Pelodiscus sinensis: one gene and its partners. The protein of the gene in region 3 purifies or fractionates together with the protein of the main gene of each other region. This does not show direct contact. Links are inferred from orthologs where the notes say so. Each region holds a gene or a part of one and is shown on either strand. Other genes may lie near its edges. The genes, in order: H2AX, DDB2 and XPC.

Region 1 (6,766 bases), on a different chromosome or scaffold from region 3:
ATGGTGTCTACAAATGCAACGTATCATGAATTTTCTTTGATCAACTTAATTTCCTTCCAAGCTTAGCAGCAAACTCCATAGTGGAAGAGAATATGCATTTCAACTAGTGATTAATCCCCTTCATTTTATAAGCCAGTACGAATGTATTGTAGAGGCCTTTCAAATTGTGAAATGCAGAGATGGTGTTTTGTAAATGAAACCATGTTTAAATATCTCTAACACCTACTAACTATTTTACTTTCATGTGGAACTGGTTCCAGGGCCATGTAATTTCTTATGTGCATGAAATATGCCCTTGAAATCCTCCAAATAGCAGGGATTGTGCCTGACAGCTGTCCAAACTGTGTATTTGATTTAATTTTGTAGGTACAATTACATTTTCTCACATTTGAAAAATGTAATTGAACCTCCACCCTTCAAATTCAATGCACAAACTAGGAAAATGTAAGTTTTGAGCAGTGCTCTTTTCCATGCTGTGTACAACCAATTACTAAGATTCATTTTTTTGTTGCTGGCCACTATTTTATTACACACAGTACATTTTCAGGGATATACAAGCAATGAAAGGCTACTACAGCAGATTTAGAAGTATCCAAATTAAAGGGCATGGCAGAAAGAAATACTGGATGTTTTACTAACAAGTTTTGTACTAATTCAAATTGTCTCTGGTTTGATTATGTAGGTGGAGCAAGCTGCTGTGTGCAGCTGCTGTCTTGCAACAGATCAAAGTTGGTTTCACTGCAGCATGAAACTAGTAAATAGTAACATTTTAGAGTACACCAATACAGTAGTGTAATCGCTGCTAAGTGAAAGTCTCCCACTGTGGAGTCCGTGGGCTCCGTAGTTTACAATACTTAGGATGGTTGTGCTTGATCCCAGACAAGATGTTCTCAGCCTTAACATTAAACGGGTAGAGCCTCAGATCGGTGATACGTGGGACCAGGCAACTAAACAGTCTGTGCCACAGCTGCTTCCTGGTGCCAGCGTTTCGCAGTTCTCCGGGCACCGTAACAGGACGGACTCCAGCCTGGCCGCAAGCAACGCTCGGGGCGCGGCCCCACCTGTGCACGTGGAGCCCGCTCGTCCCGCCTACCAGCGTTACGGCTCAGTTCCCAGAAATACGGAAGCCCCTGGCGCTGGCACCGGGCAGATCACGGGGACCTCGCCTCGTTCCCCTGGTGTGCAGCGCGCGGCCGTGGCCCGGGGAACGCCTGCCTAGCGGGGCGCAGCGCAGCGAGGGGGCCGCCCCTCCAGGAAACCCGCCCCGGATCCGCAGCTCTTTCGCTGAGCCTGGGGCGGCCCTGAAAAGGGCCTTTGGGGGGGGCGGGCGGGCGGCTAATACTCCTGCGACTGCTGCCCGCCGCCCTTCTTGCCGCCCTTGGCCGGGCCGGGCCCGCCGCCCGCTTTCTTGGGCAGCAGCACGGCCTGGATGTTGGGCAGGACGCCGCCCTGCGCGATGGTGACGCCCCCCAGCAGCTTGTTGAGCTCCTCGTCGTTGCGCACCGCCAGCTGCAGGTGCCGCGGGATGATGCGCGTCTTCTTGTTGTCGCGCGCCGCGTTGCCCGCCAGCTCCAGGATCTCCGCCGTCAGGTACTCGAGCACGGCGGCCAGGTAGACCGGCGCGCCCGCGCCCACGCGCTCGGCGTAGTGCCCGCGCCGCAGCAGCCGGTGCACGCGCCCCACGGGGAACTGCAGGCCGGCGCGCGACGAGCGGGACTTAGCCTTGGCCCGGGCCTTGCCGCCGCTCTTGCCGCGGCCGGACATGGCGCGAGAACAGAAGGGGGCAGGAAAAGGACGCACGCGGCCCAGCGATCGCCTCCCACGTCAGCAAGGGCCACTGCCTGCCACAGCCAACTGCCCCGGCGCCCGCCGCGCGCGCTTTCTTTTATAGCCGCTGCGCGATGACGCTGCATTCCGCCATTGGCTGGTCATTCAGATTCTCTCACGGATTGGTTCGGCTCAGGAGCTGGCCAAACGGTATGCATTTATTGGCTGCCCGAACAGGCCAATCAGAAGGCAGGGCGCCAAATTCAAACGGAGCCCAAAGCCTAATAAGGAACCGAGCAGCCTCATTCTCGTTGCCAGTGTCCAGGGTTCCACCCCGTGAACTGGCCCTTGGCAGGGGCTGCCACTGTGCGAGCATCCAGGGTGAATCCATTCTGCCCCGCCCCCGGGGGCAGACCCCCATTCTGTAACGTGTGAGTAGGATGCTCTCCCCCTTTGGGCAATTGCTTGAGTGACAGAACAAATAGACATGGAGCCCTCTTCCCCTGCCCACAGGTAAGAAACTTCACGTCCTATTGGCATCTGGTCCTTGGTTTAACGACACTGCAGGTCCACAACACTCAGGTAACATTAACACCCGCATCCGACCAATGGCCTCTGCCCAACCCCATCACAGAAAAAAATTCAGCTGAGAGAGGCCAGTGTAAGAGTCTTTACTCACATCTGGGAAGGGGGCCTGTGACTCTGAGACAGAGCGAGATTCCTGCTGCCATGTGGCAGGGAACTGAAAAAGTAAAAGGTAGATCAGGAAGTGCTGGAGTTTCCCTTACCACTGGCAGCGCAGTCAAACATCATAGAACAAGCGTACTAGTTGGTACCGGATCAAAAAGGCAATGGTGCTGCCCACTACCTACAGAGGAAAAAAATAAGGAAGATCATTGGAATCCATTTGTGCTAAATACTTGACCGAGTGGTATAAAGACAAGATCCCTTTGTCAAACAAACTACATCATATGACCCACCTCTGTAAGTAACACAGAAGTTAATTTAAAATATTTCCATGCCTACTTTCAAAGGGGTGTGTGGGAATGAGAAGACTGGGCAAGATTATTCTCTCCGAGGAGCAGTATGGTTCTGTATTGCAGAGCCATAGCTAACTCAGGCAGGTGAGAGACAGCCCCCGCTTTAACAAGCTACTTGGTATGGTGGAAGTAAAGATGTAAAGATAAGTGAAGGGGTGAAATCAAAATGTTCCCTGTGCCTGAGAATTTTAGTGTGGACCTACATCCACAGTAGAGTAGGCCCTCCTGTCTGCGGGAGCATTTGCCTGACCTGGATAAGAAGCAGCAGAACAGTGAGGGTTTGCTCTGAGGTTGGTCCAATAAGCTTTATAACAAAGTTAATGAGCGTCATGTTGTTGCACTCTGTGTATTCTTCATCTTCGTCTAATTTCTGTCTCACATCCACTATATGAAAGGTTTCTGATACCTGGGGAAGAGAAGTATGTTAATCGATCTTTAATTAGATACATTATGGCTGCGTCTACACTGGCATGATTTTTCACAAAGAGAGTGTCTACACTGTCATGTGCTTTTGCGCAAAAGCATCCGTGCCAGTGTAGACGCTCTCTTGCGCAAGAAAGCTCCGATGGCCATTTTAGCCATTGGGCTTTCTTGTGCAAGAAATTAACGTTGCCTGTCTACACTGGCCTCTTGCACAAGAATACTTGCACAAGAGGGCTTATCCCTGAGTGGGAGCGTCAGAGTATTTGCACAAGAAGCACTGATTTTGTACATTACAATGTCTGTTCTTGCACAAATACTCGCAGCCAGTGTAGACAGGTGGCAAGATTTTGCACAAAAGCGACTGCTTTTGAGCAAAATCTTGCCAATGTAGACACAACCTATGTGTTTACTACTTAGAGCAGGGGTGGGCAATAACCCCTTTGGATGGGGGCACCACTTCATGAATTTTAATTCATGGTTGCAGACTGGCTCTGGCCCCTTAGGAGGGACGGAAGCCTTGGGCAGAAAGGGGCGGATCCCTCTGGGTGGGGAGTGGAAGACTTCATGCACACCCCCATTCCCAGGCCAATTGGGACCTAGGAGTGCGGAAAATCATTCACTGTTCAAAACAGCTGGTGGTTCCCTCTAGGCACTGTGTGCCCGTGGCATAGAGTGTGTAGTTGATAACAGAAGACAATTTTTACTTATCTCTCAAGGTACCTTTAGAATATACTTTCCCAGTGCTGAAAGACTTTTGGTTTTGAATTTGGAGTAGCTCATTTCCAGCTTCCCTGTTCCAGGATTGAGCCTGAAAAGAACATTGAAATATTAGTCCAGTTGCACCAAAGAGGCTAAATCTCTCTATAAAAGCGGGGGGGGGGGGGAAGACATCTGGAGTAATCCTATACATGTAGACTACGTCTACACTGCAGGCTTCTTGCGCAAGAACTGTTTTGCGCAAGAGTTCTTGCACAAAAATTCTTGTGCAAGAGCACGTCCACGCTACCATGTGCTTTTGTGCAAAAGCAAGAGCTCTTGCCCAAGAGGGCTTATTCCTCGTAAGGAGAGGAATAACTCTTGCACAAGGAGCCCTCTGTTCCGACACTTTACTGTAAATGTACTTGTGCAAGAACGCGTGTGCAGTGTAGATGCTCCACAAGTTTTTGCGCAAGAACAGCTGTTCTTGCGCAAGAAGCCAGCAGTGTTGACGTAGCCATAGTAGTCCTATAGGAGTCTCAGATGTGTAGCCACTCAAATAAGGCAGGGGCCAGAAGAATGTTTTGTGGGTAGTGTGAGGGGCAGTCAGCTGGGTTGCAGAAAGTTGTGGCAATTTCAAGGCAACATAGAAATTCCCACACATAGAAAATTGACAGTTCGTGTAGCATAGAACTGATAACAGAACCTTAGAGATGGCATAAACACTTCACTCTTCCCTGTGTTTTATAACACTACTAAGGAACAGTGTTTCAACTCTGCTCTTTACAGGGCTATAACATTATTTGTTAACACAGTTCTAACTCCATCTACAAAGCATCACCCAAACATATTAGGGACAGCTGCACTGTGAGTAGATCACTCAGTATGGCAGATTTTACATCACACACACAGACTTGGTGTTAGATACTGGTTAATTCAACAGTTGAGTAACTGCATGAATTCCTATTGTTTACTCAACTATTCTATAGGCCCCAGGGGCGGGGCCAGTTTGCTCTGCTAAATACTTTACTGAGTGATATGCCGACAAGGTCCCTTTGTCAAACAAACTACAGTACATCATGGTACTTCTGTGTTACTTACAGAGGTTGGTCATTTGCAGGAGTTAATTTAAAATATTTCTATGTCTACTTACAAAGGGGTGTGTGGGAATGAGAAGACTGGGCAAGATTATTGGGGTGCACTCCTGGGGAGCACTCTAACATTCTGCACTGCTGCCTCGGTATAAAAAGGCAGCAGCATGGGGTGCCAGGCAGGAGCCAGTCCACAAGGGGAGCCACGGAGTGGCAGCAGCCCTGTCTGCAAGGGTCCAAACTCCCCGCACACAGAGGCTGCTGGAGAGTGGGAAGAGGAGGAAGAAAGGCAGCCAGGAAGGAGCTTCTGTCCACAGCAGCCTGGGTTGCCCTGAAAAGAAGCTGGCCCGGCAGCAGCCCCTGTCCACAATGGATCCAGGCTTACCACAGACAGAGGCGTAGGGAGCTCAGAACCTGGGCCTGCAACGAGCAGACTACTTCACAGCAGCCTCCCCTGCCCTCTTCACCCCACACTGGTATGTCTAATAAAGGCAGAAATGGGAGGGGAGGGGAAGAGGGGGAGGGCAGCACCGCATAGCCAGTGCTGCGGTGAAAACCAGCTTTTAAGCCAGCTCCCTCCTAGCATTGGCTCCTGTTTCCCTCCTCACCCCCTGATACAAGACAGCAAGCGGGGGGGGGGGGGGGGGGGGGGGGGGGGGGAAGAAATGCAAATAGTAAAGAAGATTACCAATGAGCCTAGGCTTATCTGTTCATTGTATACTTGACTTCTTTATATCCCTAGTCTGTATTAAGCTTTCATAGTACTAAAAGGTCCCATCATTAGACCCCTGCGTGGATATAAAATTTGCATCTGTGTCCATAAAAATGAGCTGCAGATATTTGCCTCCACATTCACAAATCTGGATACCCACATATATATATAAAGCAGATATCTGTAGATTTTTAGGGCTCTTACAATCAGGACTCTACAGTTCACACCTTCTTTCTAGGACTGGGTATACAATAACTTGTGATGGGGGGCCGCTCCCAAGATTTTGGAAAGCAGCCAAGAGCTGTACTCTTCCATGGTATTAATGGAGGAGAAGTGGGGTCTGGGAAGGAGGTTGGGTACAGAAGGGAGCTTGGGGTAAAGGATTGGAGTGCAGGAGGAAGAATGGAGTCTGGGAGGGAGTTTGGGTGAATCAGGTAGTTGTGACCTAGGGTAGGAGGGGACTGTGATCTCAGGCAAGAGATTAGGGTGCCAGATCTGGGAGGGAGTATGGGTTCATGTGGAGTAGCGGGGCAGGAGTGGTTGGGGAAGGGAGAGGCTGAGGTGCCAGAGGCAGGTTCTCCCCAGATGACATGCCAGCCTGCCTGCAGAGCTAAAGACTTACAGAGCTTAAAGTGTTTTTGCCTACTCGGCCATGTGCTTGAGTGTGAGCAGGAGGGTTGTCCTTTGTGACTGCCTGTTATTCACACAAACAGCTCCCATTGGCCAGTGTCTGTCCAGAAACTGGCCAATAGGATTGTGCTGGGGGTGGGAGCAGCGGCTGAATCTCCCCCCCTCCCATCTGGACTCAAAGAGAAAGCACCCCATAGCTGTGTTTCTGAGTGGGGTGCAGGGCTCTTGGGCAAGCAGGGGAGCCTGCTGGTCTCCGCAGGCCATATTTTGCCCAGGCCTGTTCTAGTATGATGCCAGTTCCCAGGACATTATTATTGCTGTTTGGCAGGAGACAGTTTTCTGTTGGGCTCAATTTACAGGGCAGCAGCTCCTCTCTTTTACACCCAGCTGTTTGCAACAGGAAAGGT
Region 2 (7,830 bases), on a different chromosome or scaffold from region 3:
CTTTCTGCATTTCTTAACACGTTTTCACGTCTGTCAGATAGGGTTGCCAACCCTACAAGATTGTCCTGAAGTCTCCAGGAATTAAAAAAAAATTTTAATTAAAGGTTATGTCATGTAATTAAACCTCCCAGAATGTGTCCACCAGAACTGGCAACCCTAATTTCAGCCAATTAGCTGACCTGTAAGGATCATTGAACCAATCTGGCTGGCTGAAGGGAGACTAAGGGAAGGTCTGGGAGACTCATCTGTTGTTGTTTCTCATACTCCCCCCTCCCCCAAAAAAGTGGAGAAGCCACTCCCCATCCATTTCCTCTTGCCATATTTTAGCTTTTGCTCTTCCTGGTGCAGGAAATCAGGAGTTTCACCATTGCCTTCTTTGGCTGTTGTTTTTGTGTCCCTCCCTGCTCTACCTAACTCATTAGGAGTCTGCAACTTTTTATCTGAAAATGCCATCTACTTTCTGAACAATTCGGTGCTTTTAAGTCCCTAAACTGGAGTTAATGTAGTGTAGCCTGAACCCTCCATGTTCAAGATTCCAAAGTTTATGTCCCTCAAGGCAATTGGCCACGATATATGACATGATTGGGAGTCCTAAGCAGGAATATTTTGCCCCCATCATATACTAATGATTAATAGGAGGCCTTCTGGAGTTATTTGGGACTCTAAGCAATTGCTTAGTCTGCTTTTGCTTACTGCTGGTTCTGAGGGCAGGTTTTATATTTTGGGAGTCAGTGAGACTTGGTGCTCCTCTTTAATTTTTCTCATTAAATTATAGGGTTCCCAATGATGTTCATTCAATAACAGTAACAAGAAAAGACTGAGGACCTTAGGGCTGAAAGGAAAGGGCAGCTCTGCCCAGCCCAGGAACCTTAGGAATCTATTTCTTGGTGCTGTTTTGTTTGCCAAGTGTTCTGATATTTGTAGATATCTGGAACTGATAGATAATTTAAAAGTTGCCTCAGGTTTCCTGGGAGCTAGAATGGTAACTCCTGCATCGTGGGGCCCTTCTGAGATGCATACTATAGAAAAGAGAGTCTAATGTCTGAAACATCTTTTTGTTCCCTTTACTCTGATAATTATGTTTTAACTTGAGTGGTCATCCTAAAACAGTCCCACAGATGGGCCCTGTTTATAATAGATCAAAAAGTACATCCTTTCCACAAAGAGTGTTTGAAAATCCTTACCCAACCTTAAGTTAGCTCCATGGGAAATAATAGGTAGCAAATGAATTTCCCTTTTCATATTTTCAGGGGGAAAAAGAGGTTTGATCAGTGTTTTTCAGCATAGTGTGATGTTCACTCATGGCTTCATTAAATTCCAACATGTTAGTTAAATTACCTACTTTACATGCATTTCCAAAGTATGAAAATGACAGAAACCTTGGGTAATTGTCATAGGAGAAGTGTATCCAGGTCACAGCGTTTGGGATGTGATCTTAGTACACCTTCCTTTTGTACAGGATGGGATTTCATTTTCTGTTTGGGGTTTCGTCTCCTGTGTCCATTTGTCCATGTTGTCTATTACTGATCATGGCATGATGCTCTATTGCTATCTTTATCTCTTCTATCTTTTTCCTTTCTTCTTGGGTAGGAGTGGCTATAAGGAGGCAGAGCCTCCTGGTACAGGAGGAGGTCGAAGAATGTGATATTCTCTATGACATGTTTTCTCCTCTTTTTGGACTACATTCTTGCTTCCATATACTGACCTAAATTGAGTTACTGTGATGTTACTTTCGCATCAAATAGCAAGACTTTGTCACAAATGAGGAGCTTTGGAACAGAGCAGGACAAGAACCACTTGACAGTCAAATCAAGAGAAGGAAGTGGAGATGGCTAGGCCACACTCTCAGAAAACCATCATCCAGCATAGCCCATCAAGCTCTCACATGGAACCCGCAAGGAAAACGCAAAAGAGGAAGACCTCGGACACCTTGGAGAAGATCTGCTGAGATTGAAGGACAACAACTGGGGTACTCCTGGAGTCAGCTAGAAGTTTTGGCTCAAGACAGAGTAAAGTAGATGACCTATGCTCCACTCGGAGTACAAGGGTTTAAGAAGAAGAAGAAGATGTTACTTTCTCTTAAAATGGCATAATCAAGTAGTCAGATAGAAGCAGGAGCTTTTGATTTCTTATAGCAGAGATCAAGGTATTGGGCAGCAAAAAGCCTATTTATACTATATATACCTTTAAGCATACCAAGCCACCAAGTCAGGAGCCACAGTTACAGTGTTTTTTTTTCTTTATCTTGGTACAACTTAATAGAAATGATCATAACCATATAAAAATTATAGGTCACTGACAAAGGATGGAAAAATAAGGATAAGATCCCATCCATCCTACAGTTAACAGGATCCCCAGACTTGGTTGCCTTCGTACTATCAGTGGGTCTTAAGAGACTAAAAATTGTAAATAAAAACAACAAAAATATTATATTCAAGTAAACCCTATCACTGGGATTCCCAATGCATCTGGTTTTCTCCATTCCTGCTTTTTAGATTGTAAGAACTCTAACGCAACTCTTTTAGTGAACAAGTTAGTCCTTAACCAGTAAAAATAATCGCAAAGGAATCTGGTGAATCTCCAGAGTGAAACTAAACCTTGTGTTAGTGTTTGATAAGAAATAATTATTTATTAATTCCATTCTAGCTAAGTGAAAAATCTAAAGGTTGCTATGTGTGTACTCCTCTGGGCAATGAATTTAACGTAAATGAGGTGAATAGGATAGTGTGAGTGTTCGCATCTTTGCTGGAGACAATTTTTCTGCAAGTCTGAGGTAACAGAACCACAGTTTACTACAAATCTGTTGAAGTCAACAGAAGTTTTTCCAACTATTTCAATTGGGTTTTTATCAGGCCTTTTTTTCAGTGGAAAAGATTGAAAATGTACACTTTAAAAATTCTGTGGAAAGCAGGACAGATTAATACTTCAGTAATGTAAACTATAATTTTCTGCTTGCTATTTAATGAGATATTTGAATCTCATGGAACCTCTATCCTCCTTTTGATCTCTCTGCATCTATTGAAGCTGTTGACTAAACTCATCTTGCCTGCCATGAACAAGAGGAGAATTTTCCTATAGTTTCCTTTCCTACAAGTTTAATACTGTAGACTTTCAAGACGTCAATGTGTGTTCAGTGGGCGGATGGCTTGCAGAGAGGTGCTAGTTTGATTTAGTGCCAAATGTGTAGTAGGAGTATTTTGCAAAGACATATAATAAGACAAATTATCATGAAGTGCCTGTGTTGATATTTATATTTATACAGAAATAGATACTTGTTTCTTATGTGTCATGTCATTGTTATTTACAATTTTGTGATGTTATATTCCAGTAGACAAGCATGGTTTGTATGTGTTTTAATGTAGCATAGTGACATGGAAGACAAGCATAAGAGTTCATTGTAACATTTTTTTTTACTAAAACATGGACAAATGGATGAGTGGACTATAGCCTTTCTGTAAAGTTATCAACATATGAATAACAGGCTGATATCACACTAGATGCAATGGAATGTAATTTTAAGTGGGGGTTGTTTTGTCCTAATTTCTTGAATGTTGTTAAATGGAGCATTAACAAAGGTCCAGTGATCTGATTTTGTCATTTGATTTCAGCTGTGATTTGTACCATATCTTCTATTTTTTTAGACACATCTTAAACAGAATATGTGAATGTTGACATTTTGAATTCATATTTTGTATTATAAAATCCACTATGGACATCGTCATGCAGCTCCAGTGTCTTTGTTTGGTGCTCTAGAAATGCATACGATTGAGATTGTTTGTGGGGCCCATGTCTAACAATGTGATTAATATATTTGATGACAACCTAAGTCTTTTGGTAACCTGTTGTCTGTGACTAGACTGTTCTGATCCACAGGCAGTTCCAATAAAAGTGAGTATGGTAAAAGATCTACTCACATGTACTCCAGAAGAGAGTCAGGCTGGTTGTGTTAATTTTGTTGCTGATTCTAAGGTGCAGATAAAAATGTTACTTTCCGCTAGAATTCTTTCCACAGCAGGGAGGCTGTGGGATTTGGGCAATGTTTGCTAGTGATAAAAAATGGGGATCCTAATTCCAGGCTGTTTGTGTGTGACTTCTTTGTTCCAGCATCATGCAAGGCACTTTAGAAAATTGTCTGTTTTATATTTGTCTGTTACTCTGAAACTGCGTTTAGAAGATTTAGGATAGATATTGGTTGCTGTGCCTTTGCCTGGTGTGGTCAGAGAGAGTTGTAACTGCAAGTGTTTGAGAAGAACTAACGTTTGTAGTTTGCATTGTTGTAACACTACTGGCACAAATGATTTCTGACCAAAAAGCCAAAAGAACTGTTCCAAAACCATTTATTCTGTTACTTCCCACATTAGACTAGGAATCGTGTCTGAGAAGCTGGAGAGCTAGGGGGTGGGGAGTGCTGAGGCCTAATTTCTAGGTAAGGTTTACTGGGCTCAGTATGGTGGTGCAGAAGGTAGGACACAGCCAAGCTGGGCAGGGCTGATACAGCCCCAGGCATGTATCTGAAAGGCCTTGAGAGTTCACCACCTTTTGCTGAGCCCCTCTAGCCCTTGATGGGGACGATGCAGCTCTCTGGCCAGGAAGGCCCCAGCGGAGGCCTCGCTGCTCTGCGGAGATTCTAGGGCTACCAGGACGGAGACGACTCCCCCCTTCCCCGGCTGGATCCGGGTGTCTCCTTTCTCCCGGGAAGGGGCCGGGAACGCTGCAGCAGGAAAGCTCGCGGCGGGAGCAGCAGCAACAGGCCGCTTCCCTACTGCGGAGCCGGGACCCCGAGCGCCGCGCCCCCCGCGGCCGGGTTATGAAACAGTCGGGCCCGCCCTCGCCCTGCGCGCTGGGGGCTGGGCCAGACCGGGTAGCGGAGGCCGCGGGAACCAGGTGAGGAGCGCGACCCGCAATCCTCTCCCGCCGTGCCAGTCCGAGGGCCTTGCGGGAGACCGGCGTAGCAGCCAGCGGCTCGGAGCAGGGCGGGGTCCTGCCCAGGACTCCTGAGGTGCCGTCAGCTGCCTGCTTGCGCCCGGTGCCCTGCCCGAGTGGTTACCGCTGGGAGGCTGTAAGGGAAACTGAGGCGGGGAAGGCCTCCTTCCAGATCACACGGTGAGGCACTGGCAGAGTCAGGAATACAACCCACGAGACCTGGCTCCTGTTCCATCAGCCCCTCTCTCCGTACAGCCTCCTTCCCCTCTGGTACGTGCAGAGAGCACATGGGAAACCTCCCAGTATGCACCTGGTGAATCCTCTTCCTAGCATTGCCCTAGCATGTGCCCCACCCGTCAGCTTTAGAAATGGTCCCCTCTCCAGAGAGGGGTGCCCCCCGGGTGGCACTGCAGGAGATGGGCTCTGGCTAAAGCCGCGGGGCCTGGTTTTAAGCGTGAAAGGAATCAACCAGTAAATCTTTGAAGACCGTTTATGCCATGCTGCCAGTCTGTGGCTTGTGACAGTCCAAAGTCACTGGTGCTCCTCACATTCAGCCTCGGATATACTGTTCCTAATATACTCTGCTTGATTCACACTTCAGTTCTTTCCTAAACCAGGTCATATGACAACAATGGCAACAATGTGATGTGTGGGACAGTTAAAATGGAATTGGTGCTAACTAAGCTAGTTCCTGGATGCAGATTTAAGGGCTGGAGACAACAGGGTGTGTTGTGAGTCAGAAGTGAGGGATATCAGCAGGGCTGGGTGATCAGGATTTAGAAAAGCAATGTTCTGCAGGGGATGGGCTGAGCTGCGTGGGCCTCCAAATGGGAATAGCAAAGTGCTGGAAGTGGGCATTGGGGTGCTATTTGGAGAAGCTTGCACAGTGTATGTCTAACTATATTTAGCTATAGTCAGACATCTGTGACATTTATTCACAAACTAAAAATAAAATATGCCACTGTCAAAGGATCAACTTCTATTATATTTTTCATAGAAGCCCCTTGGGATCTGCCATTGAAATGTTCTACTTTGGAATCTCCTAGGTGGAGTAAAAGGCTTTTCACTTTGCGTTGTGGTGGGGGAGTTTAATTTGTTAGTATAAAGCAATGTTTCTCAACCAGTGGTATGAGTACCCTTAAGGGTACTCGAGAGAAGTCTGGGGGGGTACGTCAACGCAACTGAAATTTGGAGAAAACTGAATTTTTGTTTTACGTTTTACAGCAGACTGTTCTTTTTGTACTTTCTACACCCAAAAATTTCATTGCCCACCTGGCTACGATGAAGTTGTTTAAACAAACGTGTTGCAATGGTAGAAAAAAAAATCGTGTGTCTGAAAACTGTAGGTACTGGGGGTACTTATAATTGTTTTTAAAGTGGTACTTTATAAAAACAAGGTTGAGAAACACTGGTATAAAGCGTTAAAATAGAGGTCTACATTTGTGTTGTGTCCCAAAATCTGTATGTGTGTGTCAAGGAAAAGGAGGGAGTGCCCAGCATTTTCAGTTTTCTCACCACCATAATATTTAGGATCTTGATTCATGGAAATTTGAGTTGACTAAAAAATAAGTTTTGACCGTGCTTGGTGCCAGAGCCTAGTGAAGCCTCTTCAAAAAGCAGTGAGTCTCACCAGGGAGCTCATGTAGCAATGTGGGCTGCTGCAAAGACGCCTATGGCATTTTGTGCAGCTCAGTGGTTTTCAAATTTGAGAATTTTGTTGAGAGAGAGCAGATACCTGATTGCTTTAAAAGCTAATTGTTAAAGGCATAAAGAGCAGCTTTTTGATCCCTATTACCCTCCCCACAACAGTGGAAGCAAAAAGCCAGAAGCAATGACAAATCCTACTTTCCCAATTTTGTTTTTTGTTTTGTTTTTGTACTTTTAGGAAGGCAGACAGAATGACACCTGAGAACCAATCAAAAGACAAGATGCATGCGAGGGTGCATGAGCATCATCTGGAAGAAAATGCACAGTCAACTTGGAAGAGGAAACGAGACCATGAAGAACTGGAGAATGAGCCACAAGCAAAAAGATTGTTTCTGAGGAAAGCAGCCAAACCCCCAGGGAAAATTGGTAATGTTCCCTCAGATTCTCACTCTTTCTGCCAATCAGGACTTCAGAGAATGAAGGGCGTAAACCAGACTTTCAGATAGCTGAGGTGGGGAGGTGTCAGGGAACTAGCAGCCTGTTCAGACAAGACTTTTTTGAACTGAGTTATGTTTCTAAGCGAGGGGTGGAGATATGTGGGGACATTATTTTCAGCTATCTGTTTGGAAACTACTGTTTGTGTGTGTGTGCATGTGCATGCATGTGTGCATATGCAGCATTTTATAAGTCATTGCTTTTATAAATACATTAAAAGCAAGAGGAAGACCAAGGACAGGGTAGGCCCACTGCTCAGTGAGGAGGGAGAAACAGTAACAGGAAACTTGGAAATGGCGGAGATGCTCAATGACTTCTTTGTTTCGGTCTTCACCGAGAAGTCTGGAGGTGTGCCTAACGTAGTGAATACAAGCAGAGAGAGGGTAAGTTTAGAAGATAGGATACCCAAAGAACAAGTTAAAAATCACTTAGGAAAGTTAGATGTCAGCAAGTCACCAGGTCCTGATGAAATGCATCCCAGGATACTCAAGGAGCTGATAGAGGAGGTATCTGAGCCTTTAGCTATGATCTTTGAAAAATCATGGAAGACAGGGGAGATTCCAGAAGACTGGAAAAGGGCAAATATTGTGCCCATCTATAAAAAGGGGAATAAGAACAACCCAGGAAACTACAGACCGGTCAGTTTAACGTCTGTCCCAGGGAAGATAATGGAGCAGGTAATTAAGGAAATCATATGCAAACACTTGGAAGGTAATAAAGTGATAGGGAATAGCCAGCATGGGTTTGTGAAGAACAAGTCATGCC
Region 3 (7,457 bases):
GAGCTTTTTCCATTAAGCCACCAAGGAAGAACTTAGTAGTACAGTGACACAACACCTATGCATTCATGGAATAAAAGTTCTTACAGGAAACAGATTTGAAGCTTTCAAGATGTCATAAAAGAACCTAAGCAAATGCTTTAATATGACTCTTAATGTAGACATTTATGAACCATAAAAATCCACACAAATATCATCTCCAGTAGGCATGTAAAATTCCATTTAACTGGTTAGCTGATTAAAGGGAGTGGGTTGAGGGCACTCCCCCAACTCACTGGGCTGGAGTGGTCCCTCACCCGCCATGGCTGGGCTGGAGTGGCCCGTGTGCTGCAGGCAAGGGCTGTTCCAGCCTTGCTACTTCCCATTAAGGGGAATGCTTACCGGGTAACCGGTTACACATTTATATCCCTAATCTCCAGTATGCCCACTGAAACTGGATCTACTGGGGTCCAAACCAGTAAGCTGCATCAGAATTTTAGCTACGGTAGCACTCAGAAGGCCTAAGCAAAGATGACCAATCTGAATGCATTACACCAACATGCCACCAACCACACTGGTGCTGAAGCCATTTCCAAATTTTTATCTGCGGAGTAGACCCTTTGGAATTTGAGGACAATACCACATCGCAAATATCAGCTTCTGAGAGTAAGTGGCAGGTCATCTTCACTGGAAATAGTCAGACATGAGCCTGAGCCCAAATACCATTACTTTTAGAGAATGTTTCAATATTATTATTGATGGGAAACTGAGGCATGGAGAGCTAAAGTGACTTGCTCAAGGTCACTCAAGAGCTCAGTTGCAGAAGTGAGAAACAAACCCAGGTTCTGCTGAGTCCCAGTCTCATTTTATAGCCATTAAGTAACACTACTATAAACTAGTTTCAACTAGATTTCTTCTAAACCATCATGTTGGAAAGACACCCAGTAACGGTAGGAAAGAAAATCCAGCACCTTGTCATTCTAAGATAACAAAATAGAAGACATGAATTTCTAAATTTTATAGATACCAAGAAACACTCAGATAACATGTGCCAGGCAAAAAAAGAAATTTCTATACTCTTTAAATAAAAACTTATGAACTTGACTGGTATACCACAATAGAACCAATCTTTAGGGCTGTGTCTAGACTGGCCAGTTTTTCCGGAAAATCAGCTGCTTTTCCGGAAAAACTTGCCAGCTGTCTACACTGGCCGCTTGAATTTCCGCAAAAGCACTTCCTACTGTAAGAAATCAGTGCTTTTTGCGGAAATACTATGCTGCTCCCGTTCGGGCAAAAGTCCCTTTTGCGCAAAAGGACCGTGTAGACAGCTGAGATTTGTTTTGCGCAAAAAAGCCCCGATCGCGAAAATGGCGAGCGGGGCTTTTTTGCGCAAAAGCGCGTCTAGATTAGCCATGGATGCTTTTGCGGAAAAGCGTCCATGCCAATCTAGACGCTCTTTTCCGAAAATGCTTTTAACGGAAAACTTTTCCGTTAAAAGCATTTCCGGAAAATCATGCCAGTCTAGACGTAGCCCAAGCGTATAATTTGCCTGGGCTTTTAGATGTACCTTTCAATGGTTAAAAGTATACTAGTACTAAATCTTTCTGCAGTGTTTTACTTACATGTAATCTGCCTCGAAGTTCTCGATCATTCCTCATTTTCACATAGATTCGTTCATCTAGACTGAGTCTGATCAGATCCAGTGGCTCCTCTACAGTATTTGTTGTTTGTTGCTAAAAATACAGACAGCAGTTTTTGCGATATACAAAAGCCTCAAAAATTTTATGTTCAAAACCGGTCAGTCTCTTTCACGTATAGGATAAAGGTACCTTTCACTTTCAGGTCAGTTATTGGGTCCAGCCCAACCTGGTAGAAACCAAAAATCATTATCATAGAATGAGCATATTGTGGCCTGTATGAAATGACATAAATTTCAGTTAACTTCCTAGAGGACAGTACTATTATCACAACTGGTACCCTCTATTGACAATTTTAGTGGACAGGCCAGAAGTCTGAACAGAAAGGGTACAAAATATAGCTTACATCCTCCAAATTGAGCTCACATGGTCAAGTCTGAGATACTTTGGCAAGGATGTAAAGAAGTTTACACTGCCATTGATTATGCTGTTCTCATTGGTGGAAAATTATTTGTAGTACTGTAGCACCTAGAACAGAAGTGGGCAACCTACATCCCACATGCAGTCCAATGGGGCTCCAACTGTGGATCGCAGACCCTTTGTCTGCCTCCTTCCCCCACACGCCTCTTGTGCACTTGGGCCCTGCACTTTCAACTCCTTTCCTTCCCTCCCAGCCCATTCAGAGCACCACAAATCACCTGATTTATGCCCCATTCTCACTCCTCTCCCTCAGAGCTTGAACAGTTGCGAACGCTGGAGCGGAGTAGCAGGGAAGGAGTGCGAATCAGGTGATTTGTGGTGCTCCAAAAGTGCTGGGAGGGAGGGGAAAGAGTAGGAAATGCAGGGTTACAGGGTCCCAGTGTGCGAGGGGTGCATGGGTAATGGGAGCAAACAGGGGGTGTGCAGGCCACAAGTGGAACCCCAGCAGGCTGCAGACCACTAGTCATACTGCCCACTGAGATGAAGGAGGTCCAACTCATGAAAATCACTATTATTGGTTGCCCATTGCTGACCTAGCGCTCTAGTCCTCAGCCCCACTATACTCAGCATTGCGAAAACAGTACGAAATAGTGGTCCGTTGCCCCAAAGGGATAATGCATTGGGATCTCTGGAGTAAGTATCCAGTATTTTATAAGCTTCAGAGAGGTAGCTGAGTTAGTCTGTAACTGGAAAAACTTAAAAAACAACGAATAGTCTAGCAGCACCTTAAAGACTAACACAACATGTAGATGGTATCATGAGCTTTCCTGGGCACAATGAATGGTATATTCCATTCATCTGAAGAAGTGGGTTGTACCCACAAAAGCTCATGATACCTTCTAAGGATGTTAGGGACTAGTCAACTATCCGATAAGCAAATGCTTATCGATTAGTCAGTCAACTAGCCGATTCACCTCCACTTGTTACCTCTATCACAGAGGCAGCAAAGGGAAGGAGAAGAAGGGGTACTTCAAAGTGGCAGTGCTGCACAGCTGAACTGAGGATCAGCTGTGCAGTGCTGCCCCTTTGAAACACCGCCACCATGTTTCAGCTGGATTCCCCAGCTGATCTCGGGATCAGCTGTCTCGGGTTCTGCTGAAATGCTGCACTGAACCTGGGGTCAACTGGGGAGTCTCCCCGTGACCCTGGGTTCCACGGCTTTGAAATGCACAAGAGCCCCCACTGGGGACTCTTGTACATTTCAAAGAAGGCACACTGGGTGCAGCCCCAAGCGGGCTCTTGTACATTTCAAAGGAAGAATGCAGAAGTGCCTATCGGCTAGTTGAGTAGTTGATGGAAGTTCTATTGACTAGTCAATTAACCACAATTTAAATATCCTTAATACCATCTACATGTTTTGTTAGTCTTTAAGGTGCTGCTAGACTATTTGTTGTTTTTTAAATTTTTCCAGTATTTTATATTCCTTCCCCATTACTTCTTCAGCTTCACTTTCAACAAATCAGACTGCAGTAGAAGTACAAAACATAACAAAATCATACATCTCTTAAGCTTGATAAGAGCACTGCCAATACTGAGGCTCCAGGAGACTGAAACCAGCACTGAAATGACACTAAGACCACAGAGATGTTCGATGTTTTTCAATCACGCAATTAACGGCAAAGATCAACCTAATGAAGACTGAAACAGAAGGAAACGTTTTGATGTAAGCTGCAGTACTGAGAGGTTAAAGATTTGCTGCTCCACAGGGGACTATGGAGTCCGTCTCAAGTCAAAGGCTGCAGCTTTCTGAAACCCTAACCCTTTGCCTGCTCTGCCTTAGTTCGGCAGACCAGGAAAACGGAAGCATCTCCGGTCACGCTTGCTCAAGCCCCCATGGGCTGAGCTGGGGCTCAGGGGCGGGGAGGGGCGCGCTATGGAGGGAGCCGTATGCAGCGTGTCTTTGCTGGAGGGCCGCCGTTCCGCTACACTGTGAGCGGCAAGTTGGGAAGGGCCGGGACATGGGAAACTGGGGAGTCAAGAGGGAGAGACCCCACAGGCGCTCGCGCATCCAGCCCCGTTCATCAACCGTCCCTGCTACGGAGAGCAACGGCAACCAGACGGGAGGGATCCCAGGGCAAGGGGAGAACCGAAGCGCCCCTCCCCCCCCGGGCTCGCGCGGGCTCCGAACGGCGAGGAGAGGAAAAGCCGCTCACCTGGTCCACCTCGTCCGCCATCTTTCAAACGCGAGCCCCGCCTCTTCCCGCGCGACGCCGGCGCGTAGAAACGGCGGGTGGCGACGTCACGGTTGGCGTGGGGGGGCGGCCTCCAAGGGAGGCTAGAGCGGCCGGTGCGTTGCTCAGGCTGGGTGGTGGGGGCGGGGCTTGGCGGAGCAGGCGCGGTGTGCGGCTGCGGACCGCTCGGGCTCGTGCCACGTGGTTCCCCCGCTGGTCTGCGGATTTGGCCCCGGCTGTGCCTCCGCGTCTCCCCATTGCGGTCACAGGGCCTAGCTGTGCCTCAGTTCCCTCCCCCCACCTTTCCGTTACCGGGGGGGCTTGTCGATGTGCTCGTCAGCTCCCCCCCCCCCCCCGGCGTGGCGAAGGAAAGCGAACGCAGGTGCCCCATGTTGTTACAGATGGGGAAACTGAGGCACCCGCCCGGGCTCCTTAGGAATTAATGGGCAATGGCTCCGTGGGCGCGAGAGCCGGCCTAAGGCCCGTGCCGAGTGCAGCGGTGCCCCCGGACTGGCGTACAGTGGGGGCGGAGTACAGCTCCAGCCCCGGCCCGCAGGCACCCCCCGGGGCATGAACTGAGGACGGCGTGAGCCCAGGCTGGGCTTCGGGGGCACGCTGGGAGCAGCCCCGGCCAAGAAGGGGCCATTGGTGATCACTGCCCAACAGGCCTTTGCAGCGCCCAGGCAGCTCTGCACAAACGGCAGCCACGGGCGCTATCCGCCGCCCTTGCGGACTGCCTCTCGGCCGGCCGGGACGGAAGAGACGTCAGGCAGGAGGAGGAGACTGAGGCAGGAGCCGGCTGTGCTAGCCCAGCCTCCCCAGAGCCTTCCTGCAGCTCCAGGAGGAGGAGGAGGGCTCAGGGTGCACGTACGCTTCGGAGGTGGGGAGAGCGTGCAAAGGCCTCACCCAGAGAAGGAGGCTGCCTTCATCTCCGCTGGGTTTGCTTTGTGTCCCTCACCAGTCTGTGGTTGCCCCCCTTGCCTTGAGGAAACAGCATGGCCAAGAAGCGCAAAGGTTCCTTGCAGCAAGAGGCTAGCAGCAAGAAATTCAAGGCAGAGCCTGCTGCAGCAGCCACCAGGGCCCTCCAAACTCTCAGGCAAGAAGGAGAGGGTGAGTGTAGACGAAGACTTTCTTGAGCCAGACCCTGTTGCGAGCAGTTGCATAAGCATCATGGAGAATATACTATCAAAGAGAAGCAGCCCCTGGAACTTAGATGGCAGATTGGGGGTGGAAAATTCATTTGGAGGAATATTTCCCCTTCACATAACATGCTCATTTGGAATTACTTTAAAATGACTTTTAAATCATTCCTCTGTGCTGATAAAGGATTTTTGCTACATATTTCAATGGGACATTTAAAATCTCACTTGTCTTGTTAGACTCTCCTCTCATTTAAACGCAATCCTCTAGCCTACTGTCCAATGTGCATTTCTAATTACAGTAGACTGTGAAGAATAAATCAAACTTCTCTGATATTGTTTATTTATAGCTGTATTTATTTTGTGACATTTTTTCTGTAGGGTTTTTATAGGATTTGTTTAAATGAAACATTTATTTAGAATTGTTCTTGTCTCAGTTATTTGCTGGTTTTGAGCTTACTAAAATAAAGCTTTTGAAATATTAAACAGCAGATGAAATCCTTTTAAACCACAATCTCTTTGCATAGCCACTAAATAGTGTAGTGTTCTTTGTGGTGTTTAACTCCATCTGCTGATCTGTTGTCCCTTATACTGTATAATGTGATCATGACTGATTTAGCTTTTTTTTCCAGCCCCATTACAGTCAACATTTCAATGTTACATAAGCAAAATAGTTTTCTCTTGAGAGAAGTTTCTAGTGCTGTCAGGAAACAATCCACAATTTCTAAACATTTCCTTTGTTACAATGAAAGAGGGAGGATCAAATGATTTGATGAAGCTAAGAAAAATAAAGGTTCTGGATAGAGTACTGCTGGCAGCTTTAATAAATACATGTAATTTCAGCATATCTTTAGGGTATTATTTATGTAAAATATAAGCATGGAATTCAGGTCATTCTTAATGCAAATAATGGTAGAATTTGATTGTATATGTGTTTGTGGAAAAGGCTAACTGAAGGGAACACAATATAATCTTAAATCCTAATTCTGTATTTCTTGTTCATCTAACATTGAGGCTTATAGTTAGTATTTCTGTCACCACATCTTCATTTAGTATTTATCTCTAGATTTCACATAGTTGTTGAAGATGATGTGGTGTGACTTTCAAGCAGTCTGTTTCATTCCTTAATTTAGAAGAAGCCCTATGAAATGCTACATTTTCAGAGTGATGTGGTTTTTTTTAACTGCTTTATCTGCTGTATTGGATTTGATCTTGCAAAATGCTTAACTCCTGGTCAATGAAAGTGAAGGCCTCAGGAAATCAGGCCTCTCAAAAACACACCATTCAAGAAATAATGGTTTTAGAGTCATTGTAGGCCTTGATTGAATTCTGTTGAACTCTTCATTAGGGATGTTAAAATGTGTTTGTTTATGTAAACATGTAACCACTGAAAAATTCAGCTGTTACACATTTACATGCATGCAGGAGCTTCCCCTAGCTCCCCATATGTATACGTTAATGTCCCTTGTGTATATGCAAAACCCTTTTAAAGACTGGAGGCCATTAGGGCCTAAGAGTGTGGTGTCATGGATCAATTCACAATATTAGTGCCTTTTTAAAACAAATATTTAAAGTACGAAAACCACTCTCCTTAGTACATTTTCTCTCAAAGTTGCTTTTTAAAAAATTCATTGGATTTGAACCAATATTACTGCTTTCAGAATTGGGCCCATTGTGAATGTCCAGCAATAAATGCAGTATTGCCAGACCCAGATGTTCAAAAATGTGACTCAGACCCCCTGGAATGTATGGGGATTGGCATAAAAATCATAAGACTATAACATCAGAAATCTCTCTCCACTTTTCTTGCTTCTCTCAGGCTTCCAGGAGCTGTATGTTTACAACAGATAATCACTGCTTATTAGAAAATAAAAACATCTTAAAAGTGACCTGCAAAAGTTTCTCCAAAATGGGATCATTATTAAGTAATGAGCTGAATGTCAGACATAGTCACAAGCAGAGGAGTATTCAGCTAGTAAATGACGAAATGCAGCTTTGGAAAAAAATCAGCTCCTTCAAAATTACGTCTGCTGCCCTTCTCTACTATACTGACC

What was found.
Region 1: the proteins of XPC (region 3) and H2AX purify together in Homo sapiens (affinity purification with mass spectrometry; 3 studies listed by BioGRID and IntAct, counting the BioPlex papers as one, with this or other methods). This does not show direct contact. The link is inferred for Pelodiscus sinensis from reciprocal best matches to the Homo sapiens genes XPC and H2AX.
Region 2: the proteins of XPC (region 3) and DDB2 purify together in Homo sapiens (affinity purification with western blotting; 5 studies listed by BioGRID and IntAct, with this or other methods). This does not show direct contact. The link is inferred for Pelodiscus sinensis from reciprocal best matches to the Homo sapiens genes XPC and DDB2.

Annotation. Positions count from the first base shown.
Region 1 is NC_134736.1:119,836-126,601, reverse strand, and holds H2AX (histone H2AX), read right to left. Parts: upstream 2,273-6,766; 5' UTR 1,765-2,272; coding exon 1,336-1,764; 3' UTR 501-1,335; downstream 1-500. Other genes in the region: DPAGT1 (UDP-N-acetylglucosamine--dolichyl-phosphate N-acetylglucosaminephosphotransferase), read right to left, coding at 2,570-2,635, 3,058-3,213, 3,951-4,038. UniProt on the Homo sapiens protein: Variant histone H2A which replaces conventional H2A in a subset of nucleosomes. Nucleosomes wrap and compact DNA into chromatin, limiting DNA accessibility to the cellular machineries which require DNA as a template.
Region 2 is NC_134714.1:84,892,533-84,900,362, forward strand, and holds the start of DDB2 (DNA damage-binding protein 2), read left to right. Parts: upstream 1-4,730; 5' UTR 4,731-4,807; coding exon 4,808-4,884; exon of another isoform or gene 4,885-5,193; intron 5,194-6,808; coding exon 6,809-6,996; intron 6,997-7,830.
Region 3 is NC_134721.1:22,033,743-22,041,199, forward strand, and holds the start of XPC (DNA repair protein complementing XP-C cells), read left to right. Parts: upstream 1-4,424; 5' UTR 4,425-5,259; coding exon 5,260-5,374; intron 5,375-7,457. Other genes in the region: U6 snRNA-associated Sm-like protein LSm3, read right to left, coding at 1,599-1,709, 4,247-4,267. UniProt on the Homo sapiens protein: Involved in global genome nucleotide excision repair (GG-NER) by acting as damage sensing and DNA-binding factor component of the XPC complex. Has only a low DNA repair activity by itself which is stimulated by RAD23B and RAD23A.